Linked DNA regions of Yarrowia lipolytica. The protein of the gene in region 1 purifies or fractionates together with the protein of each later gene. This does not show direct contact. Links are inferred from orthologs where the notes say so. Each region holds a gene or a part of one and is shown on either strand. Other genes may lie near its edges. The genes, in order: YALI1_C07137g, YALI1_F28744g, YALI1_E26336g and YALI1_F39001g.

Region 1 (7,577 bases):
CTCTCCGAAAGCAGCTTAACAAGCTCAAGCAGGACACTGCCGACCTTGAGAAGCACCTTGACTCCAAGAAATAGGCAATTAGTTTATGACATGATTATATGAGCAGTGATAGAACATGCAGAACGGAAACAGAAGGGAACTGAAGTGGCAGAAGAGAGTACAAGTAGGACAAGAGTACAAGTACAGTACTTGTAGGAGCAAAGGTGAAGCGGGCGGAAGTGCCAGCGGTCGGTGGTGGGGAAGTTGACCACCGACTCGGCCTTCTCGTTGGTGGTCACCACAGCTTGACCGTCCCAGACAGTCGAGACACTGGTTTCCGCAAAAGCCATTCAATAGTCTACAATGACAAAGTGAGGGCTTTTCGTCGTCTACAGGATATACTCCGGGCCTACTATCGTATCGTACTCGCACGTACTTACTTGTAGTAGCATGGTAGAACGAATCTACAGGAGCCTAACCTGTTCATTTATCAAAGGAAATACCACCAAAAAAAGGTACCAATGGACTCATAATTTCGTGACGATTCCACTGATGTAATAAGATCAACAAGTTCGAATACAAAAAGTCCATTTAGTGCATTGAGGTGGTGCTATCTATGTACAATACCGTATGTAGTACATTATACGAAGACAGTCTGTAGCTATGAGACAATGTAGATTTCTCCTGAGTACATTACGTGATCCACACGAGTTTGATCCGAGTCAAGACTCTCAATTCGAGTCTTTCCAAACTTCTCTCCAGACGTTCCTTCCGACTCCTCACTGCCCTTCTCTCTCACCATCTCCATTGGTGCACTGGGGTCCGAGTATCTTGTCGTAATCGTACTCTGAAAGATGGGGATCTTGGTCGTCGGGAATGGTAAATCGTTCTCCAATATTGGTCAACAAGTCCGGTTGCCAAACAGGTAGGCGAGCCGTAGCGTCGGTGAAGTGGTACGTCGGGGGGCCAGCTCAGACAGTAAACGGGAACGACTTTCCAATAGTCGACGGAAACCTGGAGGAAAGAGCAGACTCATTGATCCCGGCCTCTGCTCTGGAAAAAACTGCTTCTCCAACGATACAGGAAATGATGACCGACAATGGTTTTCCAAACACGTTGGAACTGAGTCCAATGATCACTTGACCAGCTAGAGCTCCACAGAATGCCTGTAAGATCGGATACAGGTCCTGGGAGCGTTCCTGGGAGCCGTTTCTGAGAGCCGTTTCTAAGAGCCATGGGCCATGACGTCCAGTCCTGCGATAATGACCAAGCACATCTACAGGTACAGTAGGTAAACGAGCCATGAATGAGTGTATGTCCACTCCGGTGATAAAGGTCTTGATAGACTGTCTAGTGATTGAGACGGCGATACAGCCAGTGTTGTGAATCGCCGCAGCTGTTATTTGGATAGAACGGGTTGGCGGAGATATCTGATACACAGTGACCTGGTATAGCATCTAACTACTCAGTCATGCTTCGTATTGTTTCATGGAGGTTCAGCATCTCACAGAAATGGTGCCAGCTGGTCTTCGCTGGGCAGTACCTGTGCCACTACAAACACTACAGTGGTCGGTGTCCCTCCAGTCCCGAGAACCATATATCATAACAATCTATTAATGCTAACGTCCATCCAAAATATCCTAGGTGTTGCTCGTTGTGAGCTATTGCTTGCTTGCTTCATCGCATCAACATAGGCCAATTCCATGGCTTCTTTCTCCTTCTCCTTGTCTCCTCGGTCGGTTACTATCGGTTACTCGATTACTCCTCCATCTTGGCCTCCTTTGCAGGAGCCATGTCGACGTCGCCGGGAAGAACATCCTTGACCTTGGCTCCGTGCTTGTGGCCCACCAGCTTGAGTAGGTTGGTCACGTCCTCGGGCAGCTCAAAGGCAGAGTGCACATAAGGAGGAGGGAAGGCCTGGCCTCCAGTGAGTCGCAGACAGGCGTCATTGGTGAGCAGCACAGAAGACGAGTTTCGAGCAACGGGAACAGCCTTGGAAGCCTCGTCTCGGGCCCGGGCCTTGGAGTTCTTTGAAAACTCGTAGAGAGCAGCCAGAGGCACAAACTTGGCCACCTTGACGGGAATAGGCACCAGAATCTGATGGGCCAGAATCTCGCCCAAACCCAGACGGGCCTTGGCAACGTTGGACTCGACGTGGGACAGCTTGAAGGGGTAGACGGAGGTGGTAGCCTCCAGCTGACTGAGCAGCTTTCTGCTGGCCTGGATCTTGAGTCCATAGGTGACAGAGAAGTCTCGTCCGTACTGGTTGATCACAGTTCCAGACTCGTCGTAGCCCTGGAAGTCGTACAGACGGATAGCGCCCTTCTGGGGAGCTGCAGCCATCTGAATGTCGACCTGGTAGGCCTCTCCAGCCTCCACGGTGAAGTTCTCCTCCTCCTCAATGTGCTGTTCGTACAGACAGACGGCGCCCTCGGTGGACTCCTGTTTAGCCTCGGACTCGGCCAGCTTGACGGCGTGAAGAGCTCGCTCCTCCTCGCCCTCAACCTCCCAGAGAACGCCCTTGTAGTCTCGCTCCAGCACAATGTCGTGCTGACCAGCGAGGAAACGCCGGATACGTCGCACAGAAGATCCAGGCACAATCTTGACGTGGTAGGCAGCAGCAATCTTCTCGACGAGCTCTCGGATCTTGGTACCGGTGACAACTCCAACAGCCTTGCCGGGGTTGGGATCGGTCACCTGGGCCAGGTAGGCAATGACCGCCTCGGACGCCAGGTAGGAGGCACAGACCGCATCGGCAGGAGATCCGGTCAGAGGCTGCTCGGTCTCGCCAGCAGAGGTATTGGGCACGTGTCGCACAACCTCTGTTTGTGTCACCTGGGCAGTATATCCGTCAATGTAGACTCCCAGAGAGATTTTGACCAGATCGCCGGGCGCCAACATGCCTCCCTGGAACTTGTCGCCGTTCTCGGGACTCACTCCTCCCACAAACTCCTGCTTTTCGATTCGAACGGGTTGAGCAATGCCCTTCTCGGCCACAGACTTGTAGACGGCGGTGGTGGCTCGCTCGAGGAACTCGTCTCCCATACGGCACATTTCTCCCACCGTGTACGTCTCATATTGGGTCAGAACGGTCTGGATAATGTGCTGCAGACACGTCTGGGTGATTTTGCCGGCCAGACGGTACTTGTCGGTGACGGAGCTCGTCAGTGTGTTTTTTTCGTCCAGAAGCGCGGTAGATCGGGCCAGAGACATGATGTTTAGTTGTGGGTTAGATGTGAGGTCCAAAAAAAAAAAAAATTACACTGTTATGCAAGGTGGAAAAATATTTGAGGGTTAGGGCCTTAAAAGCTAAAACGACGTAATTTGGGCGGCCGGTGGTATGTTCCAGAGAAGAGATAAAGACATGAGATTTGGGCTGGAGGGTCAGGATGATGTAATAAATCTACAGTACTGTTTTTGAGCAGATTTAATTAGCTTAGGGGAAGATTGAAGCGGTGGTTTGATACGACAATTTGTTGAAGAACCTTATATTTAGTTGAGACTATAGATGTGATGTTTGTTGACCATTGGTGGCGATGTTGAGGGGTTGTCTTGTTTGAAGACTTGGAGAAATAGAGGGGATAGTGGTGGAAATAGAAAGCTGAGTTCTGGAGGAGTGGAATGATACCAATATTGGGTCTTCTTGGGTTTATTAAGGGGCATATGGTGAGTATATTGTGGGGAGCTGGTGTAGGGACTATGGTAAAGAATGTACTGGTGCGATAAAAGCTCCCATAAGTGATAATTGAACAAGAAAGCATTTTGAAGCTTCTTTGTGGGGAAGATTAAATAGTTTTTACTAATATACGACAAGATATTTATCCCGAGAAGCCATGTCAGGAACAAGTAGTGTTTAGTTGGTATTACTTAGATTTAGTTGATGACTTTCTTTTAGTTGAGCCATTAGTTGGATTGAAATTAACATGAGCAAGAGTTGCAGAAAAAAAAAAGAGGAGAGAAAAGAAGAGAGAGCAAATGAGCGGTGACGTCTGACCTGACTAAGCAGTATGTTCGTCTGACTAACCACCCACATGCTCCCTTCTCTCGAATATCGCCACACAACCAACCTCTCTATCTCATGTGACCACTATAGGCTCGCTATCAGCGGCTAATTTTAGTTTGAGTCAACGGGACGAGCTTACTAAGGGAATTAGGGGGGGATTTACAATGGCGATTAGTGGCAGTTTTGAATTTCTGAAAGGTGCATTCCATTCCTCTCGCTTAGTCGATCAAAATGGTATCATTAAAATCCCCATAGCTCCTCTCGGAGATCTAGTAACCACCCTCCCAGTCCAGCGCCACATGCACCTCGTGCATATCTCCAGTATCCCACTTGGCCATCTCCACACCACAACACACACCAAAAAAAGACACACAAGAATATACACACAGACATGTCGGCGATTTCAGGCATGGATTTGGGCGGTGCGTTCCGGCTCGCCAATATCGGCGTTGGCGCCTTGACCGTCGTTGGAGGACTGACTCAGTTGGGTCTTAGTTTGTGAGTACACGGTATGGGCGCGGGTAGGGGGCAAGTCGGAGCAGTGACTGGAGATTGAGGGCTTGAGCGACAACATTGTGTGGGATTGGCGATACAGCGGCGCTTGGGTGTCTTTTTGTGACGACAGTGGCTGTTAGGGGACCCTCAGATACAGGTACTCTGTCTACGTGATGATACGGCATCCACACACGTTGCGCATCACACTGTTGGCACTACATTTCAGAGGTGTTTTAGAAGCACTTGACTGAATGCTTCTAAAGGCTGCTGTTCACAATCCCTTAAATCATAGCTCAATCGGGCCAGCTGGACTTGCTACCTCTTCAATACTAACTCAGACAAGATGTGAGTACTGTACGGACAATGACAGCGATGGTTGCCACTGATACGATAGCCCAACATAATTGATATGCTGAAGACATCAGTGGAAATGGCAATCACGAGAGACTGTGTCGGAGCACCTATCGAGACTGTGCCGGAGCACTCAGCGATACCAGCAATATGATGAGCACCAACGGAACAACAATGAACCGGAACAAGACAACAGAAACGAGAAAACAGATACCACAGATGGGCTGCAGAGAATCGAACCTTGTCTCCAGCAAAGTCCTCTATTCCTGCTGGTTCAATGGGATCGTTCTCACGATCTGTCTTGTTTCACATCGTTGGTAGTTTTCTGGCGTGCTATCTCCTCTGGCGTGCTATCCCCTCTGGCGTGCTATCCCCTCTGGCGTGCTATTGATTCAGACGTACTATTCAGCCTGGCAATGACTGTTGCTCATTCTGATGTGCTTCGCTCATGGCCTCCTCGCCATGGATACTGCCCTTCATCGATTGTTGTCGTCCCAACCTTTGGCAACCCAGTTCCATTACTAACGCAGATTCTCCTCTCATTCTATCTTATCATTTTTGGTTACTCAATTGCATCTCTCGAGTTTGCCACCCCCCCAGTGGCACATAAGTACGGCTCGTTCCTCTTCTCATTCGTGGGGCGAGGTATTCTGTACATTCTGATTGCCGCCATTCTCATGTCTGGTGGCTTCTTCCGATACCTCATTTCGTTCATTATTTTCGGAATCGGCGCTCTCTTTGTGGTGCTGGAGTTCATTCCTTCCATCGAACCTCCTGAGAACATGCGAAACGAGCCCTTAGACTACATGGAGGAGGTGTAGAGCACTAAGTGACATACATATGTGATAATAGATGATGAAAAGTGGCTCTCTTCCTTCCATGGACCCTGTCTACCCAAATTTAGGAGGGATATTATTAATTTAATGGTCCAACATTCGTATATATTGACATCTTCTAAATAAGGTTTTGAAATACCTTCATTCGACTGTTGCTACAAACATATATAATCTAAATAAATCAAACCCCATCCGTTTAATAATTGGCACCATTTTTGTCGCCCCATTAAGGCGGCCATTTTGATACCAAAAACTTGCCCATTTCTTCAAAAAACCCAACAGTTACCCTACTGCAGCATATATGCACACCACCAAGATATTCCATCTCGATATTGTCATGAGCTCTAATACAAAAATACACAACCATGTCGCTGGTCAAGAAGCCGAAAACCGAACTGTCGACGCATGTTGCGTCAGATCACGTGACAGAAACGTCGATCCAGCTGATTGGACACTCGTGCCCGGTTCTGGCGTGTGATTTGAGTGCAGACAAGGAGGTTCTTTCAGGCGATCTGGAGGGACTGGTAAAGCTGTGGAAGCTGTCACGTGATGACACGGTTGAGCAGTACGAGGTTGGAAAGCACAAGGGAGCAGTTTTGGGCGCGATTTTCCTCAAGCATCGTATGGTTACCTGTTCTACAGACACAACGATTTCCATTTTTGATGGCGGACACAAGATCCGGAATTTCAAGGGCCATACGGCTGCTGTGAACGTGGTTTGTGGAGGACAAAACGACGAGCTGATCTACAGTGGCTCGGATGATGGCAGTATTGGCATTTGGGATCCTCGAGAGAAGGATAGCGAGTCACGTGTGATTGAAACGAATTATCCCGTGATTGCCGTGGCTACAGATGGACACGAGACGGTGTGGAGTGCAGGAGTTGATGACGTGATCAGCAGATGGGACTTGCGGATGAATCAGCAGATTGATTTCCAGGGCGCTGATGGACACACAGATATCGTCACGAGTCTGAGCTACAATCACAACCGGTTGGCAAGCCATTCTCACGACAATACCGTGCGAGTTTGGGACACAAAGCCGTTTATGGCTGACGAAAAGTCGAGAGAACTGTTGTGTTTGACTGATGCTCCTAACGGTATTGAGCAGGCGACTCTCAAGGCGAAATGGTCTAGTGATGGAGAGCATATCATTTCCGGGTCTGCTGATCGAACAGTGGTGATTTGGAAGGGCGATACTGGTCGTCTGGTGCGAAAGGTCGGTGGTCATAGTGGCTGTGTTAATGATGTGGCTATGGTTGACAAATGGTATGTTAGTGCCAGTTCAGATGGTACGTTGGTGGTGTCGACCCTCTAGTGGTAGCGATGGTCAGAGCGACCAAAAACATGATTCCCCCAAAAAGCGACACTAGGAGGGGACAACAGTCTACTTTGAGCCTAGGTCTCGATTGGTACACACCAGTGTAATGCTCTAACCTCAACTTCAGGCACTGTATGTACCGCAACATGCGATCTAAACCGCGTGGTAATAAATTGTATTTATAATGAATGATACCTTTAGAGAGTAGGTCAGAATAGTGAAATACGATCAGGGACGAGTAGTGAACAAAAGACGTGTTTCGAAGTGTTGTTATTCCCATAGGAGAGGTGGTAGAGCCAGAGGTGAACTAGAGGACAGTAGGAAACCATGGATTGGCCACTTCAAGAGTTGAATTGTCCGACTGAAGCGTTGAAGCGTTCAACCTAAACGATGAAGAGTCCGACTGAAGAGATGAAGAGTTCTCTAGACCGGGTTTGAGCAGCTCCAACCATTATTTGTTGTATGACAATGTGTGTTGGGCTCAATGATGAAGTTCCTCTTCCCTGTTGGGTCCATAGATATTCCAACGACTAGAGAGAAACGCTAATAATACTGCCATATTATACTATAAAAAGAATATATAACACTCCTCAG
Region 2 (7,851 bases), on another chromosome or scaffold:
CCGACAACCTGAACGACCTCGACGGTCTGTTTTCGCACACAGACGGCAACACGGACGCTGCTGCTGCCGCCTCTGGTGCCTCTGGTGCCACTGGAGCTTCTTCCATGAACGACATCATGTCACTGTTTGGAAATTCCAGCAGCATGGGCGGTGGCATGAGCGGAATGGGTGGCATGGGTGGCATGGGTGGTTCTATGGGGTCTCCTGCACCCATGGCTGCCCCTGCCGACCCGTTTGCTTCGTTGTCTGCTGTTAACACCGCAGATGCCTTTGCCTCTCTCAATATTGGCAACGGTTCGGAAAAACCAAAGGAACAGCCTGCTCAGCAACAGCAGCAGCAGGGACAGGGAAAAGCCAATGATGATCTACTTGGCTTGTTTTAGATGGAGGAGTATATAATAATGGCATGAATGAGTATAAATGACAACACCTCAAGTGTAGAATGTATCATGGGGTGCTGTCTAAATGACCGTCTCTAGAGTACATATCATATCGCATAATTCGTTAACTATTAATGTGTGTCCAATATTACTCTCTACTCCCACCAATACATCTTTCCACTGGAATTTCCTCCTGCAATCCAGTTTTGAGTAGGATGGAAAGCCAGAGCAGAAGGAACAGCAGTCATGAGGGCATCACCAAGATGAGCAAGCTGATGACCAGTGCCAGAATAAATGTCAATGTATCGGTTCATGTTGGCGATTGCAAACTTCTGCACGCCGTCCAGAGGCTGTTGTTGCCATCGAGCTTTGAGAATAGTAACCCATCGGCCAGTCTGGCAGTTGTGTTTGATTCGAACGGAAGGTTTCTTGATTTCGGGCAGCTCCTGGTCGCTGATCTCGGGTTCAGCAAGTTTGGAATTTCTGGTTCGTCGGGTCTTCTTCACAGGCTCTGTTCCGTTACCGTCATTCAACATATCCAAGAAGTAGTCACTCTGGTTGAAGATGTTGATGGTGTCGTCATAGCCGTTGCAGACAATCTGGCCAGCCAGGTTCCAGTCGGTAGAAGACACAGACAGTCGGGAGTTGTAGATGGCTTGGAGATGGGGCATCTGGAACTGTGTGTCGATGACTTCTCCCCCAGGAATGGTTCTGGCAGTTTCAGTTGCTCTCAGGTCCCATATTCGCATCGATCTATCCAGCGATCCGGTCGCAAGCAAATGAGTGTTGATGGGGTCCACCGAGAAGCCACCAATTTTCTTTTCTCCGAGAATCAGAGTCTCATATTCAGTTGATTTCGTTCGTAGATCTTTTCGAATCAGGTGACCGCAAAGAGTAGAGGCATAAAGAAGATGAGGTTGGGAGTGATTTGCCACGTCCGAAACACCGACACTGGCGTTCTTCTTGGCCTCCAAGTCCAAAACGTCTCCACTCTTGCCTGTTTTCAGCTCCAGACTTCTCACAGAACCGTCATAGGAAGCGGAATACAAAATATCGTTGGAATTTTGATCGAAACAAAGAGCAGGAATGGTAGCGTGGTGCAATTGCAACTGTAGGGGCTCGTTATCGGAATCAACATCCCAAATACCCAACACTCCAATCTTGTCTCCGGCCAAAACAATCCGTTTATCTGTACCAGGATGCACAGCAGTGATGTAGATTCGCTCTTTAGTTACTTTGGACATTTTTCCGAGCTGCAGACCGCTCAAGTTGTCTCTGCTCTGCTTGATGTCAATGTCCTTAGTATCCTCTTCTTCCTTCTTGACAATCTCATCAAAGAAATCTCCCTGACTGACCCTCGATCCGTCTCCAAACAGCTGGCCCAGCGACGCACTCCACTCCTTTTCGTCGAGTCCAGTCTTAGTTAGCATCTCCTTGAGACTCAGATCTCCAGACAGTCGCTCCTTCTTGACTCCTCCATTGAGCTGTTGCATCAGTCGCTTGAGCTCACCGCTGCCTCCCAGGTCCTCCTGCTTCAGTGCGTTTGCCTCGGGATCCAGACCCTGCAGCCGACGCGATTTTCGTCGAGTTCTGGGCGCGGAATCGTCAGATCCATCGTCAGGCGACTCAAGTCGAGCTGAGTTTCGTTTCCTACTCTTCTTCGGCGCAACCTCAGGGTCCACGCTCTCCTTTTTGGCCTCTGTGGGAAGATTCAGAGCCGCCAACAGTGCTTTGTTTCGCTCAATGTTGGCCAGACGAATCTGCTCCAGTTCACTCATTATCGTAATTTTGTCTCTTGGATGTCTAGCTGGTCGCGTCACTGTCGAAAATACTAAATGGCGGTGGTTAGACGCGTATGCATATCCGATGTCCCAAAGTGGACGTTCTTATAAGAGCGGACGGGTGGTGGTACATAGTCGGTGTAGGTCGTGTGAAGACGTTAAAGGTACCAGAACAGTCATATATAGTCTTTGATTTGATTAATATGTTGATATCCTGCTCACTTCCACTACAGCCGCCAAAAAAACACTGCTGTAACGGTCTTGTGACTCCTTCATCACTGTCCAAATCGGGAAACAATAATAACTTAGTTTGGTCAGAAAAGGGATTGCTATGATGGATCAACATTAGACGAGAGAAGCACAAGTATGATGGCTAAAAGTGCATGGACACACGACCTTCAAATCGCCCCCATATGCTTGGTTTAGAAGTGACTGCTAAACTTGTCCACTTCCTGATCTCATCCGAACTACGTCGTAGTTGGTTGTACCCCTCTCCTACACACTCTGAAATACCAAATAATGCTCTATACTATAACCTATTACATATCATGTGTACTTTCCGTTTTGCACTCCTACATGTCCACGTCCTCGTCATCCTCTCCTGGGGTCCACAGACCGCCGAGATCAAACTCCTTGGCCCACTCCTGGACCACAGTCTTGGTGTCCTGCTGCTTGGCGGGAGCCTTGAGGGACTTGGATGACGAGATACCAGGTCGGTTCTCCTCGTCGGCAAGGGCCTCAGTGTACTCGGGAGCCTGGGTCCATCCGAGAATTCGCCCGTCTCTCCAGTCGTTGATGATGTTCTTGGAGGCAGCCTCGAGGTTGGGGATTCCTCCCTTGCCGAGTCGGCCAGTCTTTCGAGCCACGTGAATTAGCACGTTTGTGGTGAAGTCCTTGAAGTTGGCGTGCGACAGAGGGGGGATAGAGTAGTGCTCCATGAACTGCTGCAACAGAGACTCGTCGTTGGTGAGTCGCTTGAGCAGCAGTTGGACAGCGGGAACCTGGTCGACCATCTGCTTAGCAGGAATTGCGTTCAAGAGCACGAGACGGGCCTGCTCCTGCACCTTGTTGGCCTTCTCGGAGGGGAAAACGATACCCGGAGAGTCGAGAATCTTGAGCTTGTTGTCGATCTTGACCTCTCGAAGAGCGGTGGTGACACCGGCTTGGGCTCCGACGGGACAGGCTCGTCCTCCTCCATGGATCTTGGTGAGAGCGTTGATGATGGATGACTTTCCAACGTTAGGGTAGCCAATGACTCCGACAATGACAGACCGCTTAAGCTGCGAGTCCTTAGCGTACTTTTTGAGGGCGTCCAGCAGAGCGGTGGAGGTGGACTGCTGGGTCACGTTTTTGTTGCAGAGCTGTCGGCCGGTCACGGGACCGGAGTTGGCAGCTCGCAGGGGCAAAGTGGGGAAGGTGAGTCGCAGAGTGTTGACCCAGTTCTGCAGGTTCTCGGCAGGGATCAGATCAACCTTGTTAAGAATGAAAATAAGTCGCTTGTCGGGATTGGACAGAATGGCAGATTCGACAGCTCGAGACCGGGTTCCCTCGGGATCTCGAGAGTCCAGAACGTAGAGAATGACATCAGCCTGGTCCACAACGGTCTTGAAGATCTTGTCGAAGGCCTTTCGCGAAGACTCGTTAAACACATCATCACCAGGGTTGACCTTGACATCCAGCTCCGTAACCTCGCTCTCCATCTCTTCGTCCTCGTCATCACTGCCATCGTACTCCTCGGCAGCAGCCCGTGCACTGGCCAACAGAGCAGCCATGGGGTTGTCCTCAAATTCCTCCTCATCAGGCACGTCCTCGCCTCGAGACCGGGCCTCAGCTCGGGCCTGTCGAGCTTCCTCCTTCTTTCGCTCCTTCTCGGCCACCTCGGCCTGTTTCTGTGCGTCCAGCTGCTGCAAAAGCTGCTCCTTGTAGGGGAAGGAGTTGGGGATACCGAGATCCTTCTTGTTTTTGGACTTCCAGGTCACGTCCTTCTTGGCGAGCTTTCGCTGTTTTCGACCATGGGCGGCAGCCTTCTTCTTGATACCCTCTCTCAGTCGAGTAGAGGTTCGCTTGGATGTGGGGGCCTTTGGTTTGGGCATTGTGTACTGTGTGTGGAGTGGTTCTCAAATGCACGCTGAATATATTTTCAAAAAAAATTCAAACTTCAAAACCTTATCGTCCAAGGTGCAGTGTTGTGGGAGGCAACTTGTGAGTGGCAAGATAGGCTTGGGGTGTAAACATAAGGAAAGAGGTTTGCTTAAATAGTGGAACTGGTTTATTGGCTTATTTGAAAGCGATTGTCAATTTCACTTTTCTCCCAGTATATCTACATCTTCGGTAAGATAGGGTGTTACGCGAGCTCTAACCTCCATGCTGTCTATTGGGTGGAATTATAGTTACGTTGTTGTTACATCTTTAGTTGAACAATATACCTGCATCTCTCTAATACATACTGTAGTGTCTCTCCCACCGGCCTAACACACAGTTCATCATTGACGGGAGGTGCCCGACATTCCTGTCTACATGCCACTTCAAAGTTTTCCACGACGGTGCGACACTCAGCTCGGTAGACGAGATTGTAGAACCCCCGAACAGTCCCCCGAACCCCCCTAGGGTGACCACTCTCCATGAGGTGGACACAATGCTCCGACCGGGGCAGAACCAGTAAGCATGTCTTTCACCTCTACTACCACCCCTTCTAAAGCCCCATGTAAGAGCACCCAGGCCAAAATGAAATCTCCGAATGTTAAAGTCATCACGGCTAACATCGGCGGTTTTAAGATGGCGGAAGCGCTTAACCGATTACCCGACACCATTGTAAACATTATTCGAACTACTCACTACCCCGATCTCGTCCTTCTTCAAGAGACGAACTGGGTGGACTCCTCCCTACAAACCGCTCAACAAATCATTTCAAACTCGCCCTACCCGGGGGGCAGACACTACACCCTCCTCGGCTCCACAGCTGGTGTTTCTAATAGAAGCGTCGGCGTGGGGCTAGTCTATTCCGACAACGTCACCATCACAAACTTTACAACAGTTTTTGAATACTTCCCAGCCCTAGACAACAGACTGTGTTTGGCCGACGTGCACATCAAAGGCACCGACAGACACCTATCGCTGATCAACGTATACGCACCAAACGAGCAGGGAGCCTCCCCCTTCACTAACCGGCAGTTCTACCAGTCACTAGACGACTATCTACGCCTCCATCCCTGCCAATACCCCCTGATAGCGGCAGGCGATTGGAACGCGGTCGCCTCCAACGACGGCAGGATTGGCGAAAAAGTGACGACTCACCTTAAGGACTTCTTAGCTAACTGGGACTTACTAGACACCTACACTCTAATCAGCAAACACAGAAAAGGCCTCTACACTCACACCAACAACAGCCGCGGAGCTGGCAGGCGCCTGGATCAGCTGCACATCTCTTCGACACTCTCACAGTGGATCAAATCCACACAACTGGTAACCAACAAGCAGGGTCACAACATCACGAAGTCCTCTCACCACGCGGTCCAATTCGTCTTTAACTTTGGCAACCTCACCCAGCGACAAGACAGAGGCCCAGGCACCTGGAGGATGCCCTGGTGGGTTTTTGATACAGAGTACATTGCTTGGCTCAAGTTCCACGTCAAATCCATTCTGAAGCGATATGGTCCTTTGAAGCCCAGCCTGAAGCTGCAATGCCTGAAAGAAAACATTAAGGTCACCATCCAACAGGAAGCCAAAAACCGCGCACTTCGAGATTCCAACCACCCAGACAACAGACGCCGCGAGGCCCTCATGGCAACAGCCTCAGACTGGCAAGCCTACCCAGCTAACGAGCCATACCCGATGCTCCATGCTCGGGTCGAACAATCCAAGCAACAGATGGAGATCCACTCCCTACGGAACCACCAAGGCCGAGTGAAGACCGACACCTCCTCTCTCTGCGACATCTCAGCTCGATACTTTGACAACATCTTCGACAGAGCTGCCGATATCAACGACACCGACGACAGCGCCTTTTTAGACCTCTTCCCCGAAGAAACCCGGAGGGTGAATACAGCTAACCCAAGCCTGGACTCGTCTTTTACCAAGGAGGAGATCTTCGATACCATCAAGGCGTCTACGCACAACAGCGCGCCAGGGCCAGACGGCATCCCGTACAGGTTCTACCGCGACTGCTGGGATGAGCTGGGGGACTTGATGACGGACGTCTACAACGAAGCTGGAGCCGACTCGCCCATCAGCACCGAACGCAACACCGCTATCATCAAACTACTGTACAAGTCGGGAGATCAGGCCGACATCTCCAACTACAGGCCTATTTCTTTGATCAACACAGAGGTGAAGATCTACACACAGCTCATTAACAAAGCCATCCAGAACATTCTTCCGGACAGCATTCACGGCGCCCAAAACGGTTTCGTACCGGGTCGACACATCACTAACAATCTCGACACCATGGATCATTTTTGCAACGCCTACTCCCAGCTGAACATGGGTTGGGTCGTAGGATCACTGGACTTCCGGAAAGCCTACGACACTATCAGCCAGAGTTGGGTGATAAAGACGCTTCGAAATGTGGGTGTCTCGGAACTGATGATCAACCGTATCCTAGCTGTACAACAGAACGCAGTAACGAGAATCAACATCAGAGGTGTCCTATCTCGCCCAGTCCGCATCAAGATCGGAGTGAGACAAGGATGCCCTCTCTCTCCAACCCTCTTCATCATCGCAGTAGACGCACTTGTGCGTCGTCTGGACCGAGAGATGTTTGGACTGGCCCCAGGCCTGCCACTATCCCACCACCACACCACTGGGCACAGGCCGCCACAACCCCCTACTCACCCGGAGGCAGTGGCAGCTGGACACATGAAGGTGTCGGCTTTCGCGGACGACATAGCGGTGTTCCTCAACAACATCCAGGACGTGGCCACGGTTGGTAGAGTGCTCTGCCTCTTCCAACGGGTCTCAGGCCTCACACTAAACCCGTCAAAGACGGTGCTTCAGAAGATCGGCCCCCCCGATTGTTTTGTTCCACTAACCTTTATTGACGCAGAATGGCAGCGAACAATTGACGCCACCTGGCCAACCGACAACAACACACGACAGGCCCCGACGCTCCGGACATCTGACAACATTTTCCGGTACCTCGGAGTACACTTCGGAAATCGCGAAAGGTTGGACACGCACTACGCTCAGATCAAGGAGGACCTCAAGGAGTCGCTGCGACGCCTTTCACTATGGGGTCTCCCCTATTACAGCAAGGCGTGGATGATCAACATCTACTTCTTCTCGAAACTGAATTTCCTTGGACCCTACGTCAGCCAGATCGACAACACCTTCATCCGAGAGCTGAACGAACTAGCGTGCGACAAGATCAACAAATTATCACCCGACAAAACACGCAAAACCTTCAGCAATGGTTTCATCCAAACTCCGGTAGGCAGAGGAGGACTGAACCTGCGGGACATGGGACGTTTCATGGTGTGCCTGAAGGCCGCTCGGGCTTACAGGTTCTTCCATGGCTCATCGCCGGCCCTTTGGGACTGCACCTTCCAGTTCTACAGCAGAACTCACAGTCTCACACAGGAAAAGCCACACCAGCGCGTCGACTGCCGCTTTCCGACAGGCCAAGCTTGGGGCTACGCAGCCTCCCCCACCATGCGAGACGCAATCAGAGCTTCTTTCGAGCTCAACAAGCCCCT
Region 3 (7,225 bases), on another chromosome or scaffold:
GACGCTCACATCTTCTCTGCCCCGGGCTTTTGTGTCTTGAAGCCCATGTCCCGCGCCTCTTTGTTGCCCCGCCATTTTGCCATATTGCTACAGGACATGCCGGAATGAGACAAACAGCAAAAATAGAACGACACTTGGTGCATGTTGAAAAAAAGGTCCGTGACGAGAGAGCGGGACGAAAAAAATGAGCAAACTTAGGTCACGTGGCTGGAGCGACGCGGAGAAGCAACAATTTGGCGATGACTGAGCGATCCTCGGTGTTGATTTGAGCTCACAGCGCGGCTCATTGTACCTGTAGCCAGGTACGTCAGAAGCTACAGTATGTACTCGGTCGCTAAACCGCTCGCTAATGCAGTGCGCGTCCCAGAGTCGGCTAAAGTGGATGCGGAGTTTTTTTCTGCATTACAGAAGAAAGAAGAAATTGGAGGAAATTGGAGGAAATTGGCAAAAATTAAGACTGGTGACGGATATCAAGGCTGTTGACAATGAAAACTTCATGATACTGGCAGAGCAGCAGTATGAGTGTTCTGGTATTGCTGCCCTGCCTGTCCCCCCGAAAATACACTCATAACTCCACCAACTTGCTGTTATTGTACAAGAGACATCCACCGAATGAGGAAGTTATAGAGTGTGAAGAATTGACTCGCCATTCCGGCAGATATGTGAGACGCCCATTCATGGACTTGACAGTATCTTCGGTGAGTACCCGTGAAAGTACAGTACGAGTACATGGAGGCAGTATGAATTAATGCACTTCTGACACGACCCACAAGAACGCTGAATACCTGAACAATAGTGCTGAAGCTGGAGATTAACCAAACTGTCGACACGAAGACTTCTGGCAAAACGCTACAAGTATATTTCCACTCTCTCTCCGTTCACAGACCCAAACACGAGGTGAGCGTAACAAGCACAGTAGTGTTCCGTGGAAGACCAACCGGTGAGACATGGATGAGAAGTGATGCTATAAACATGAACTACTTGTACGAGTATTTGTACGAGAGTTGATGTACAAGCTACTTGTAGGTTCGTAATAGCATCTAAACTGTGAGCATATACAAGTACATCCTGTACTTGTACACAGGATGGTACTTGTACAAGAACCATACGGATAATTGTGGTATAAATGTGGACACAGGATCATCAAAAAGGGTCACCGACTTGAGTGTGAATTGAGAAGTTGTCAAGCGGGATTGTTCTGGTCTGGTAGCCACAGATGAAGGGTTGTATACCATGCTATACAAGAGCGAACGGGACACTTGTATCAATCAGAGTATAGTCTGTCTAAGAAGTATGGGTTCTGTGGTCACCAACGATTCTCAGATGTCATTTCCATGCACACAACTACAAGTAATTATCTTTATCAACTCACCATGCCCGTTTCTTTCTAACGACTACAAGTATCGTACAGTATGAGTAGTCCGCATACCGAGTCCCCACAGACATCATAGTAGATAGTTTTAGCTGAAATGGAAACTGAAAGTAATACTACTGACTGCCCCGCCATTTGCATTCAACATTTCACCCTTCTGTATCTACTATGATGTCAGTGTTTCTCAGATCTACCTCCTCCTAGTCCTTGCGATCAGCCGCCTGCATGAACCTTCAAAATTTTCACTGTTGATTCTGAATGAATATCAGCTCGGAAGGGAAACAGAACTGCAATCTGCTTGCTCGTAAAGATCAGATTGTTCCCTCGTTATTAACGCTCCGTCCCTCGGGTATTACTGTGTATTAATCATCTACAGGTAGCTTTCATGTCCTGGTCTTAGGCCAGTCGTTTCCGCATAAAATGGGTTAAAAGTTTTATTTTTACAGATTCGAAAATCGCGCTTACTGCTGAGCACGGATCTCCTGGATCTTGGCCTGGACACGGGCGTCTCGCTCGGCCTTGGTGAGCTTCTTCTGCTTGTACTTCTTGGACTCAGCAGCGTACTCGGCCTTGGTCTTCTTGGCGGTAGGCTTGTGGTCGGGGTCAGCTCGGATCTGCTCGTGGGCAGCCTGGAGGATCTCCTCGACGGAGTCAGCGTCAACCTCGTCGTCGAGGTAAGACTGGAAGATCTGTCGGAATCGCTCCTCATCATCATCGGCAAGCTCCTCCATGTACTCGGAAACGTGGCCAGCGAAGATGTACTTTCGCAGGGTCTCGGAGTCGAGCTCCTCGGACTCGATATCCCAACCGGGGAATCGAGAAGCGGAGTGGGGGACGTAAAGTCCACCATCGGAAGCACCCTTGAGAACACCGAAGCACTTGGCACCGGTGGTGGTTCGGGTCATACCGACATCAAGGAAGACCTTGAAGGGTCGAGGACCGTCCTCAACGGCCTCGGTGAGCTCAAACTCACCCTCAACCTCCTCAACTCCCTTGTAGGTCTCGTCGAGGCCGAGCTTCTTGAGAGCTCGTCGAGCAACAAGAAGACCGACGGCGTAGGCAGCGGCCCAGTTGGTAAGACCGTGCTTGACACCGTATCGGGGAAGCTCGTGAGCGTAGGCGGCAGTGAAAACAATGTCACCCTTGAGCTGGGAAGAGACAATCTGGGCGATGATGTCCTTGTTGGTGAATCGCACAACAAGTCGGTACTTGGGGGTGTTGTACTTGGCCTTGTGCTGGGTCACGAGTCGCTTTCGAGCATAGTAGTCGGTCTTACCTTCTCGTCGTCGACGGAAGGGGGTCTGGAACCGAGAGTGGTAGGCAGAGGTCTTGACAATCTTGTTGAACGACATTGTTGATGAAGACTGATGAGATGAGACGGGATTTTTCACCATTATAAAAAATAGACCTTGGGAGTTTCCAAGCCTGTGACTGTTTTCCCAAAAGGGAAAAGTCATGTGATCAGAGTGGATTTTGAACCTTAATTTATAGGAGAGGGGTCAATGATGAAAAAATGAGGGGAATATGATGATAAAAGGATACAGAGTCGATTGAATGGCGATAGATAATCAAGAGGTTTAGTGGTATTTTTATTTTTATTTTTATTTTTATTTTTATTTTATATCATTGAAACTAATTTCTTTTGGCTCCTTATTTCCACCCCTATGTGACATTTCAGTATCTCAAATATCGTATAAAATCGCCAAAAATGGAATATTTGAAAATAACCCACAATATAACCACATAAATATGTTCATCGGATCTTTACGCTTGAGAGAAGAAAAAATCGGACTCCATCGAACCCCCTGAAGACTTCAGAAAAAACCGAGATACTTTTTGTCTTCTACCCCCACCCATTTGTGCTGCATGACGCTGTTGTGTGTCACGGGTCCAAACCTCTTGTTAGGAGTTGTAGTACACTCTTTTTTATACAAAAAAAAAAAAAAAAAACAAAAAAACCCATATTAATTTATTACTATTTATTTCTTATTCTTTTATTTATATAAATTTGATTTATTATTTATTCATATTTATATTATTCTATCAATTTATAATGTACAAGTTCATGTACTCAGAAGATGCTGTGGACTCACTGGGTAGTATATCTCAACAAGTATGACATCTGTGGCACGAGGAGTACAGCATATATAAATTATAACTAGATGATCGCTTTAAAAATAGTACTACTGTTGCAGAACTGTACTCGTTTTCATTCCATGGTGTGCGACTATCTTGTTAATGGATTGATTGTGGGTCTACCATACGTGCAACCGAGTACAAGGAATCAACAGACGAATTTTAGGGCAATCTGAGAGCCCAAGGAGCTTGAAATTGGATTAAACGTATCAATGTTACTCCGAAGATGTTTTTTTCCTTCCCCATAGCATCCATTGTATACGCCAGGTGGGCATATAAAGATCTGTGCTGTTACTTTAGTGTTGGACATGCCAGTTGACGACTTCAAGTGGATTGCTGATACAGGCCCCTGGACTTCCGATATTCATATAGTGGTCAACTATCTTTCTTATTCTCTTTTTGTCCACACCACCAGGTATTTCTAGTACACCATATTGATCATTGTACGTCAGGCTACTTGTAGCTTGGAGAAGTGTCCACGAATCCTTGTAACGATGCCCGGACCAACAATGGAGTACAGGGAGGATATAATGTTGATAATCTAGATGCTCTTCTGACCCGTGCCCATTCCCAAATTTCGACACTTGCCCAGGTTTTTTTTTTTTTTTCTGCATATACATTCATTTCATTATAAGGTACTTGTATCGCTGTTGCTTTTCTTCCGTTATCTCAACTACTGTAATTAACAAAGGGACTATATGGTTAAGTGTATACTTAGCTTTTTACTTTCCACTCCCCGAATGTCAACGAACTATTGTATTAGTGATATACAAGAGGAAAAAACAAGCAAAAATGACAAAAATGATTCAATCACCCGAATAACAATGACGCTATTTTTTATTTTTTTTCTTCTTGATTTGTGTAACTAATTGCACGCTCCATCGATATCTCCGCCACCTGCATGGCCCTGCATAGAGTTCTCTACGCCAATATGGATCTGTGGACGTGATTCCGCCGCCACCACACATGGAATATCGACATCTGGAACTCGCCAGCCATCTGTTTGACTCATGCATCTTTGACGAGGCTCTCAGCGTGCTCGAGACGGGTCTGCTCCGAACCCCCGTCGAGCTGCCAACGTCCAAAGAAACAGCCATTCTCATGACTCTCGCGGCGTATCCTCTCTCGCACCTAGGAGGGGAGACCGTCAAGACTATGACGTACAACAGCGTTCATCGGGGAACACGCGACTGTCAGAAGACGCCTGGAGCACGCGCCACCGCCCTTCTGAGACGCTTGCTGGAGTTCTCCAAGGGATCGGGACCAGCCCAAGAACGCATGAAACTTGTGCTACGATCATCTCTCATTGACCATATCGAAGAGGAGGGCGAGCAATCGAACACTACGTCAACACAAGCGAAGGAAACTCGGACAAGCACATTGGAGCATAAAGGTTGGGACGATGTGGCACAGGTACCTGTCGATCGTTCAAAACACGAAGGAATGGATTCGAATCTGCTGAGAGACATGGTGCCTCACAATGAAAATCTGAAGAAACTCTCTGATCATCTACGTCCATTGTTGTCGTACACAAGAACCTCTTTGTGGTTATCGCTGTGGACAGTCTATGGGTACTACTTGGCATGCAGTGGGTCCCCCAGTGCGCCACATCTGAGTGCCTGGGCAACCGTTCGACCTCTCTTGCATGTGATCCAGGACATTGTCGAGGCTGACCCTTTCATTTTGCTCAGTTTCTACGATTCCCACGGCAGCATGTCCGAAATCTGCAACCGAATCCTACCAGGCAAGGGACGACCCATCACTCCTCTGTTCATTGGAGATGTAGATTTCGGTCCCAATTTCGATCCCGAGACAATTGACCATCTTAGGGAGGTTGCATTTGTGGAGAGTATGGTCATACGAGAAAAATGGGTCGAAATTCTGCGGAGTAACGTCGAATTTTTTGGCGCAGAGCCGAAGGCTGAGTGGTACCTGCTCGACAGATTCACTACCTTTACTGCTACTCATCATCAGGTGATTCCCCAGGTCTACCCCTGTGTCTACCTACCAGATTACTACACTGTCTTCATTTTTCATAAGTACATCAAACGGTGCACTCAACGGGCAGGACATGTCGTCAATGCTGGGCAGTTTTTGGAACGAGTTTCTAAAGGAGAGGAGAAGGAGTTGTACGATGATGCTATGGATTTACTAGAGGTGGCGTTAAGTGACAGCCCTGATCGTGGCTTGTTGGAAGGAGGAGCTTCAAAGATTTACTCTCCAGTGCTTTACGCCTTTTATGGTCATGCTCAATTGTGGGTGAAATTGGCCCTTCAGATCGGTTCTGACACTTTTTCGCCAAAAGATGTCCTGGAGTATCTTCGGAAGGGGAGGACGACGCGTTTCCAGGTGTTGTCCTCGTACAACGAGAAGAATGAAAAGGCGCCAGTTCTTTGTAAGCAGGAGGAGGATGTTCTTACTGCCATTGTCAAAGCCAAGTTGATCCTCAATAAGTATTTGTGAATATGGCTGTTATTTATATGTTAATGAAATGATTGAATTCCGGTAGGGGCACTGCACAGATATACCGAAAATGGTCCCAGGGTGGTGTCATTGGCGACAGATTCACGTTGGTCTTACAGTACATACTCTGCTCCTCTATCTGCGTATTACCATATCATGAAGAACGTGACAGAAACCAAATGAAAATAATTCTGACCACGACTAATGTCATATAAATATAATTGGTATCAGCTAATCTCATTAAAGCTGTTTTTGTTAGATCACCATCAGTGAATCGGCTTGTTTCAATGCCAAAGATTCTGTTTTCTTTATTCTAGGGAAATACATTTCATCTACTTGAGGCTAAAGGCAATGTTATACCCGCAAATCGGATTCGGATTCGACATCGGTTGTTCAGAAGAGCGCATGACATTCGTGTTCGCTTGTTCACGTTTTATTTCTGTTCCATCTCTTGACCGGATTAATCATCTGAATTCAGTTTTGGAAGTCCACTTTGCCTGTATAGGCATGTAACGATTCAGAAGCTAGTCATAAGGTGTTATGATTAGTCATGTGCCTTGGCACGTGACTGGACGATGATGACGTCCGGAGGACGTCATGAGTGTGTCATTATGGATGAATACTTGGTATCGCGTGGCTAGGTCACGTGGATAGTGACGTGCTTTACAGAGTTAGGGTTGAGATGCCTGTATATATAGCCACCACTCGCAAGTATGTAAGTTAAGTTATGTTTATACGACTTCCGGAGCTCGTACTATTGGTGTACTGTTCTGTAGAGTAGGACGAGCGGTTCCCGCTCGTACCTAGGGATATCTTGAGGATTGACCCATCACCGATCCGTTACAAGGCATAAACCTGCCTTCGTGGCCAAGTGGTAAGGCGCAGCACTAGTAATGCTGAGATCATCAGTTCAAATCTGGTCGAAGGCATGTATCTTTTTATATTTGCAAGCAGTTCTGCACAAGATTTTTTGACGTGCTCTTCGAAGCCTTTGACATACTCGGAGGAACTTCGTCTAGACCCATCGTGACACACTAATAAATGAGACACCTACAAGTAGGGTCAACATCTTGAGACTGTATTGAACAGTAGAATGTCCTAATTTTTATGACCGATCACTTCATGCAAATTCCGTGCCGGAGATACAAACTAGATATTGCTCTAGTCCCAAACAAGACACTGAGGCCCGAGGTATCCAAAACAGAGCCAATTGGTGACTCTGCGACGCCCCGTCAGGACATGAAAGTTGAGGAA
Region 4 (6,998 bases), on another chromosome or scaffold:
CGACCAGATCCGAGAGGACGATGAGGAGAACGAGCAGCTTGCAGAGGACGCTGAGATGATCGAGGATGCTGATCAGGAGGAGCACGACATTGAGGAGGAGGAAGACGACGAGGAAGACGAGGAAGAAGAAGAGGAGGAGGAGGAAGAAGAGGAGGAAGAAGAGGAGGATCCCCTCGAGAAGGCCATTGCTGAGCGAGGCATTGAGAACCTCAAGATGGACAAGTTGGGTAACTACATTTTGGATTAATTGCATGTGGTGGGGGTAAATCAAGGAGAGGCGGGAATCGACGCCACTCCTAGGTAATAATATAAACAGTACATTATTGAATAGAAGCAAGTGTTGCAATAAAAAAAATTGGCTGCTATGCCTGGTTCCTGTCTTGTACCGCACTTCTCACAGGAAATGACACCATATATGTATGCTGCGTGATGGGCGTTATTTTATTCCGTGCAGCAAGCCAGCAAAGAGGAGAAAGCTATTTGAGAACTCTGAAACAGACTTGTTGGCAGGATAGAGTCTTGGGGTCTCCTGATAAGGTCTCGAGTCGGTAGTCCTAAAAATGTTCGCTGTGTCAGAGTCTCGTGTCAGCTGGTGCCACCCGCCCCACTTCAGTCCATACAGTTACAGCTCGGTTACACAAGCGAGCTGATTAACTTTGCGATTTTCATTTTCCGAAAGGTACAGCAGGCACATTCCAGCGGGTGTGTGCACCACGCACTATAATCCGTCTAAGTCTAATTTGGATATTCACTCCACCCACCTCACTACACATCACCAAGGAGATTATTAGTCTGCCTTTTTCTAAAGACCGACTTTTTAAAAAACCACCCATCTCAAGCGACCGCAGCCATGATCTACAAAATTCTGGAATCCTTGCCGGCCGAGGCTGTTCAGAACGGCACCGTCAACCCCGAAACCGTGCTGCCTGGCGTGCCCCTTGATATCCAGGACGGCTTCATCCACCTTAGCACCAAGGCTCAGCTGCTGGAGACGCTCAACAAGTACTTCAACAAGCACGACCGCGTTTATCTGCTGGCGATTGACATTCCCGACACTCCCGGCGCCCCATTAACCGAGGGTGCCGTGGGTTGCAAGCCCGGATGTCGACTACAGTGGGACTTTGTGCGATCGCGAAACGAAAAGTTTGCGCACATCTACGGACACCTCACCAATGGAGACATTTCCGAAATCAAGGAGCTGGAACGAGGCCCCGACGGCTGGAGCTTGTGGTAACCCCGCATGCCACGTATAGAAGTATCGTATTTATTGTGCTGCATGAATATATTGTTGAAAAGAGGGCCTGATGGGTGTCGGGCGGAGGACAGCCGTGTGTAACGCGTAGCCGCTCATTTATTGTATCTGCGCCTGTCTTTGTATACCAAGTTACGGACCTCGTAGTCGTGCCCATGTCGTGTAGCGTGAAGTACTGTTAGCGTGTATCAGAACATAGAGCAGTTGGCTTACTCTTTATTTCTGTTCACGCTTATCGCTGTTGGTACCTGTACTTTAAAGCATTACAGTACAATTGCAAGTGTGCTTTATTATATGAATGTATTAAAGATTAGCTACATGCTGTAGTTTTTGAACGACTCTGACATGGGTCTAGCTGTTGCGTCAGGTCGTGTGACAGAGAGAAGGTGTCCAACTGTATATCATCTCCAGTATATATACACCGCTTAGAACCCCTTCACCCCCTAACTCTGCTCCTCCTCGTATTCCTCCTCATCAGACTCGTCGTCAGGAAGAGCAAAGGGATCGGCCTCCTCCTCGTCGGAATCCTGCTGCCATCCACCGACCTTCTTGAACTCGGCGGGCCAGTAGGGCATTTTTCGCCATGTGCGATCGTCCACCACGATCTCGATGATATCACCGGCAATCTTGTCATCGGGAGTCACGTCAACAACAACAAAGCCACCCCGCTTGACCCACACGGTCTGTCTGAACTTGGGTGGCATCTCAACCTGGACCTCTGGGCTCTTGAACCCGTGGCTCTTGTAGAAGTCTTGAGGCAGAGTCACCTCGTATATGTTGCTGCCCTTGGCCTGGGCGACCTTGGCGATGGTCTGGTTCTCCTTCAGCTCATCCAGTGGCGTTCCAACGGCGGCCAACGATTTCTTGCTCATGGTCGAAAGTTTTTGAGGTTGATAATGGACAGCACCGCGCCTTGCATAAAAGGTGTCGAATAAATTTGAGCTAACCCACATGGAAAATGACTACAAATTAGATATGCACAAATTACTGTACAAGGAAATACAGCGTAAAACTACAATATTTTCCTCCCATAGTTATTCTATTGAAACGTGTCTAATGATTGATTAATATGTTCCGAGACATCTAAGCGGAAATGAAGGGCTTAACCTCCTCCTTCTCAGAGTCGTAGTAGGCCACAGTGTGGACCTTGAAGAAAGAGCTGGTGACGCCAAAGTGCTTGAGCAAACGGGTCTGTCGAGAATCCAGAGTCTGGCCAGTCTTGCAGACCTCGTAGGGGGCGAACAGCTCCACCTTTCCGGCCTTGAGCTGAGTGGGCATACCCAGAGATCGGAGAGTGGGCTCCATAGAATGCACAACGGGAACATCGTCCTCAGCGGGGATCTTACCTCCGGTGGTATGGACAACGCCGGCGGGGATTGTGAAAGTAACGGTAGAGACCTGGCCGGCTCGTGCATAGTCCTCCCGAACGAAAGACTCAAAGTAATCCTTGACGACCTGGGGCTCCTCGTCGGTCAGCAGAAGACCAACATCTCCAGACATGTACTCAGACAGTGCGCCGAGTCCAGCCTTGTACTCATCCTCCTCAGACTTGCCGAGAGCCTTGGCCATGATCTTGGTTCGGCCAAAGAATATTCTGCTGCCCTTCCAGTCCGCTCTGAGATCCTTGAAAAAGGTGTTTCGCATGCCCTCTACTGAGAAGACAAAGCAGTACTTGTGTTCGTCGAGGTAGTTGTGGATCTCGTCGACGATCACCTCCTTGTCCTCCCGGGTCTTCTTCTCGACCTTGGTGAGAGCGATGACCTTGTTTCTCTTTGACTTGGGCATTGTGATGTATGCTGTGTGGTTAGAAGATGGATGGGAAGTCCTGCCAAAATATCTGCACTAGCTGCAAATATTTTTTTGGCTTTGCATGAGGGCAGAAAAATTAGCTTTGATACTCCTCTATCGAAACCACATCCAAAATCAAAACACCCAATATGCAGTCTGTGTAAGTGGCCACTCAATTATTGTACCATTCGCCACCCAAAAACATGTCTATTTCGACCCAGGATCTGCTGGAGTTCCATAAGAAACATCTAGGCGAGTTTCAGGGCACAATCAAGTTTGATGAGGCAGGTCAAGACGAGGACACTGAGCCCTCCCTGGGCTTCTATCCTGATGGAGTTGAACGGACTCTGACGGACGAGCAGATCGAGTTTTTCCGTCAATCCGACATTCGAAAGGAGGAATTGCGCATCTACAAGGAGAATCTGGTATTACAGGGAGCAGAGTCACAGGCAGAAGCTCACGCGGAAGCTCAAGCAAAAGCAGAGACAAACATACAAGCACTGGATCCAACCTCACAACAAAGACAGATAGAAGTGGCAAATGATGAGGAGGGTATGAATGAAGGACCAGGCAATTCTACAATGAGTTGATTCATCCAGCATCGAGCCCCCGGAACCAGTTTAGATTGCACCTCATCCATCATCTCCACACACACACACACACACACACACACACACACACAAACGATCCATAGCTAACATTTATTACAAGTATGCAATCATATACGATTATGTTTTTATATACTGAAGGGTATGTGAGTTGTTTCCAGGGAGACCGGATTTAAATGCAGTAGTATCGGTCGCCAAAGTCTCCGAGACCGGGCTGGATCCACTTGTTCTCGTCAAGACCGTCGTCAATGACACCAGTGATGATCTGGACGTTGGGGAACTTCTCAGCGAAAGCAGCAATACCCTCGGGAGATGCAATGAGGTTAAGGAAGAGAATTCGCTCCTGGGGGACGCCTCGGGCAATGAGAACCTCGACGGCCATCATGGCAGAACCTCCAGTGGCAAGCATGGGATCCAGGAGGAAGACGAATCGGCTAGAGATGTCCTCGGGCAGCTTGTCGTAGAATAGAGAGGGCTGGGCGGTCTCCTCGTCTCGCTGAATGAGAATCTTACCGATTCGCACGGACCGGCAGCAGTCTCGAAGGCCCTGCTCCATGGACTCGCCAGCTCGCATAATGGAGACTCCGCAAATCTTTCCCTCAAATGCAAGACCCTTGAACTCAGCGCCGGTTGGCGTCTTAACGAGCTTATCGGTCACGGGCAGCTGGTTGAGACCCTCCTCGACAAGCAGACGGATGATTCGGTCGGAGTAGAAGATGAAGTCCGACCGAGAGGTGTTCTTGTCCCGGATGATGGAGTAGAGACCAAGAAGCTGCCGGGTCTGTGGAAGCACGTTGACGTTGGAGGGAATGGGCGAGGAAGACATTGTGTGTGTGTAGTGACGGAAGGTAGAAACGGAAAGTAGGGTCGCTTTTCTGGAACCAAAATATATATATTAGGGTTCAATTGACACGCATAAAAATTTGACCCATCTCGACCCACTCCTGCATACCTCAAGTCTTATCTCGGCACTGCCGTGGATGTTCCGAAACACTGAAAACACATAAACATACATGCCCGTGCTTGGGTGATTATTGAACGGGTTGGAATAAGGCTTCGAGGAGTCCATTCTAATTCCCCTCTTTGAGAGAGTCGCGTGCAGTTCTCCCACCCTTTAGAGTGTGGTCGTAATTGGCTTATCATACACTATCGCAGCTAATACCAATACTTGACCCATGCCCCCCGCTTGGAGCTGCCAGTAGCGGGTGTTGATTTTAGTGCGAGACTAGAATGAGAAACAGGTGCAGAAAAGGCGGCAGTTACCAACAACCTGAATAGATCGGTTTGCCCCTCACGGCTATTTTTCCCTCCCTTGGACGAGCTCTAATCGTCGATAAGGATAAGCGTTTCGAGGCCGTGTGTTAACATGGCTTGATATGAGTGGAGAGACACAACCGTCTTATGAGCTGATAAGAGTAAATCCTATAGAGCTAAACCCGGTCACGCTTTCTTTCCGAGATACCCATGTTCATGGCAATATGTATATATGTATGCTTGTTTGTATCGGATGTGTATACACTGGAGTCGTCGTCTATTAAATATTTTATTGACACTGGAGAGAGGGAATTATGTCAAGCACAACGCTTATGTAGGTACTCTTATCTAGTCTATGGTTGTTGGGGTTTTCGTCTAGCTGAACCCTCCTCGTCATGAGCAGAGGCAGCCTGCTCAGCGGCCTGCTGCTTGGCCATGTCAGGATGGTCCTCGACATGGTGAGCATGGTCGTGGAAATGCGTCTTTTGACTCTTAGACTTCTTGGACTTGGGCTTAGGCTTGGCCTTGGCCTTGGCCTTGGCCTTGGCCTTCTCGTTATGCTTGGCTTCGCCTTTCTTTGCATTGTCCTTAGCCTTCTTCTGGGCCGTGTCAGCATGGTCTTGATGATGCTTTTCCGAGTCAGCTGCTCCCTCAGCATCCATGTCGTTGGCCACATCCTCGGCTTTATCCTTGTGTTCCCGCTTCATGCTGCCTGAGCCAGAGCCAGAGCCAGAGCCGGAACCCTGCTGGTTGAAGAAGCCAAAGTAATCAATGTAATCAAGGAAGGTTGAGGCCTTCTCTTCACTACCAGTATGATCAAAAGGGTCCTCGTAAGTAACGTTGTTCACATCCAAGTGCTCAGCATTATTGTGGCCATGAAGAACGCCTCTAGAGGTAAGGCCCTCCAGAATATGCTCTCGCTCCTCGTCAGAGAAGGTCTGAATCCATCGATCCACCTCGGCCCGCATGATTCGATGCAGCTTGGTGTGTGCAAGAGCAGGATGATGGAATGTTTGGAGTGCCTCATCCACAACAGTCTGAGGATCAATAGAGGGATCCTCCCAGGCTTCTACCACAAAGGGAACGACGTATTTGACCACCTCTGCAGCCACGAGGCCAGCAGGCTCGTTTAGGTATGCTGCAAAATGGTCCTTAGACAGTCGAGAATGAGTGGGATCGGTGGACTTTGAGTTAATCCATACGTCAATCTGATCATCGTGGTATGACAGCAGAGTGACAGATGCATGTAGAATCTCAGTGACTGCCTCCAAGATGGGATTAATGATTGGGTTGATGATTGAGTTAGTGAATGAGGAAAGAGCGTCGGAAATAGAAGATGCCATCATGCCGAGCGCTGTAGAAGAATCGGAGTCGCCAAAGAAAGACTCCAGGGAAGACATGACGGAGTCCTTGAACTCCAATAGAGGGTACACTGCTCGGATCACTGCGTCGACATCCAGGTTGTCGAGATACGACTCTAACGAGGTGTAGTTGGGATCGTTGTTGTGCACCTTCGAAATGTTGGTTCCCCCAGGGGTGTTCTTAAAAGGAGGTTGGTCCACGAGAACCAAAGGATGCTGTCCTTGCTGTGCATTTCCGCCACTGCCTCCAGTGCGAGACTTCTTCTTGGTATCGCCACAGTCCTTGCAGTCCTCATCGTTCCCATCATGCTCTCGCTGGTGCACCACATACTCCTCCACATTGTGCTGTAACTCGTCCAGGTGGTCAGCTAGGTCTGCTCCTGTCATGTCTCTGAATCCCCCATGGGCATCAGGAATGTCGGGCAGCTTGATAGGCAGCTTTCGGAGGATGCTCTTGAGAAACTCCGAAGTGTTGGAGCCGGACTTCTTCTTCTTCTCAAAATTGGCAGAAGCCTCTGTGAATCCACTCTCCGACAGCGAATCGTGAGCACCTCCCAGCAAAGAGTGCAGGAAGTCCAGTCCTCCAAATGTTCCAGTCACCACAGGGAACACCTTCTTTCCAGCCAGCTTGATACGCGTCTGGTTTCCAACGTGGGCATACACATCCTTATAGCCCATATCTCTCAGCACCAGCTCCAGGTAGTTTGTGTGTGCCGTGAAGTCCTCAAGGGTGTG

What was found.
Region 2: the proteins of YALI1_C07137g (region 1) and YALI1_F28744g purify together in Saccharomyces cerevisiae (affinity purification with mass spectrometry; 13 studies listed by BioGRID, with this or other methods). This does not show direct contact. The link is inferred for Yarrowia lipolytica from reciprocal best matches to the Saccharomyces cerevisiae genes ARX1 and NUG1.
Region 3: the proteins of YALI1_C07137g (region 1) and YALI1_E26336g purify together in Saccharomyces cerevisiae (affinity purification with western blotting; 9 studies listed by BioGRID, with this or other methods). This does not show direct contact. The link is inferred for Yarrowia lipolytica from reciprocal best matches to the Saccharomyces cerevisiae genes ARX1 and RPL5.
Region 4: the proteins of YALI1_C07137g (region 1) and YALI1_F39001g purify together in Saccharomyces cerevisiae (affinity purification with western blotting; 10 studies listed by BioGRID, with this or other methods). This does not show direct contact. The link is inferred for Yarrowia lipolytica from reciprocal best matches to the Saccharomyces cerevisiae genes ARX1 and MRT4.

Annotation. Positions count from the first base shown.
Region 1 is NC_090772.1:709,382-716,958, reverse strand, and holds YALI1_C07137g (uncharacterized protein), read right to left. Parts: upstream 3,193-7,577; coding exon 1,738-3,192; downstream 1-1,737. Other genes in the region: YALI1_C07170g (uncharacterized protein), read left to right, coding at 1-74; YALI1_C07152g (uncharacterized protein), read right to left, coding at 79-188, 688-794, 964-1,191, 1,587-1,684; YALI1_C07117g (uncharacterized protein), read left to right, coding at 5,245-5,649; YALI1_C07109g (uncharacterized protein), read left to right, coding at 6,030-6,980. UniProt on the Saccharomyces cerevisiae protein: Probable metalloprotease involved in proper assembly of pre-ribosomal particles during the biogenesis of the 60S ribosomal subunit. Accompanies the pre-60S particles to the cytoplasm.
Region 2 is NC_090775.1:2,870,899-2,878,749, reverse strand, and holds YALI1_F28744g (uncharacterized protein), read right to left. Parts: upstream 4,255-7,851; coding exon 2,734-4,254; downstream 1-2,733. Other genes in the region: YALI1_F28807g (uncharacterized protein), read left to right, coding at 1-383; YALI1_F28765g (uncharacterized protein), read right to left, coding at 536-2,158; YALI1_F28739t (uncharacterized protein), read left to right, coding at 4,826-7,851. UniProt on the Saccharomyces cerevisiae protein: GTPase required for 60S ribosomal subunit export to the cytoplasm.
Region 3 is NC_090774.1:2,629,270-2,636,494, reverse strand, and holds YALI1_E26336g (60S ribosomal protein uL18), read right to left. Parts: upstream 2,830-7,225; coding exon 1,834-2,829; downstream 1-1,833. Other genes in the region: YALI1_E26320g (uncharacterized protein), read left to right, coding at 4,475-5,971. UniProt on the Saccharomyces cerevisiae protein: Component of the ribosome, a large ribonucleoprotein complex responsible for the synthesis of proteins in the cell.
Region 4 is NC_090775.1:3,896,140-3,903,137, reverse strand, and holds YALI1_F39001g (mRNA turnover protein MRT4), read right to left. Parts: upstream 3,038-6,998; coding exon 2,336-3,037; downstream 1-2,335. Other genes in the region: YALI1_F39041g (uncharacterized protein), read left to right, coding at 1-247; YALI1_F39022g (uncharacterized protein), read left to right, coding at 851-1,234; YALI1_F39009g (uncharacterized protein), read right to left, coding at 1,696-2,205; YALI1_F38998g (uncharacterized protein), read left to right, coding at 3,244-3,630; YALI1_F38986g (uncharacterized protein), read right to left, coding at 3,821-4,474; YALI1_F38954g (uncharacterized protein), read right to left, coding at 5,256-6,998. UniProt on the Saccharomyces cerevisiae protein: Component of the ribosome assembly machinery. Nuclear paralog of the ribosomal protein P0, it binds pre-60S subunits at an early stage of assembly in the nucleolus, and is replaced by P0 in cytoplasmic pre-60S subunits and mature 80S ribosomes.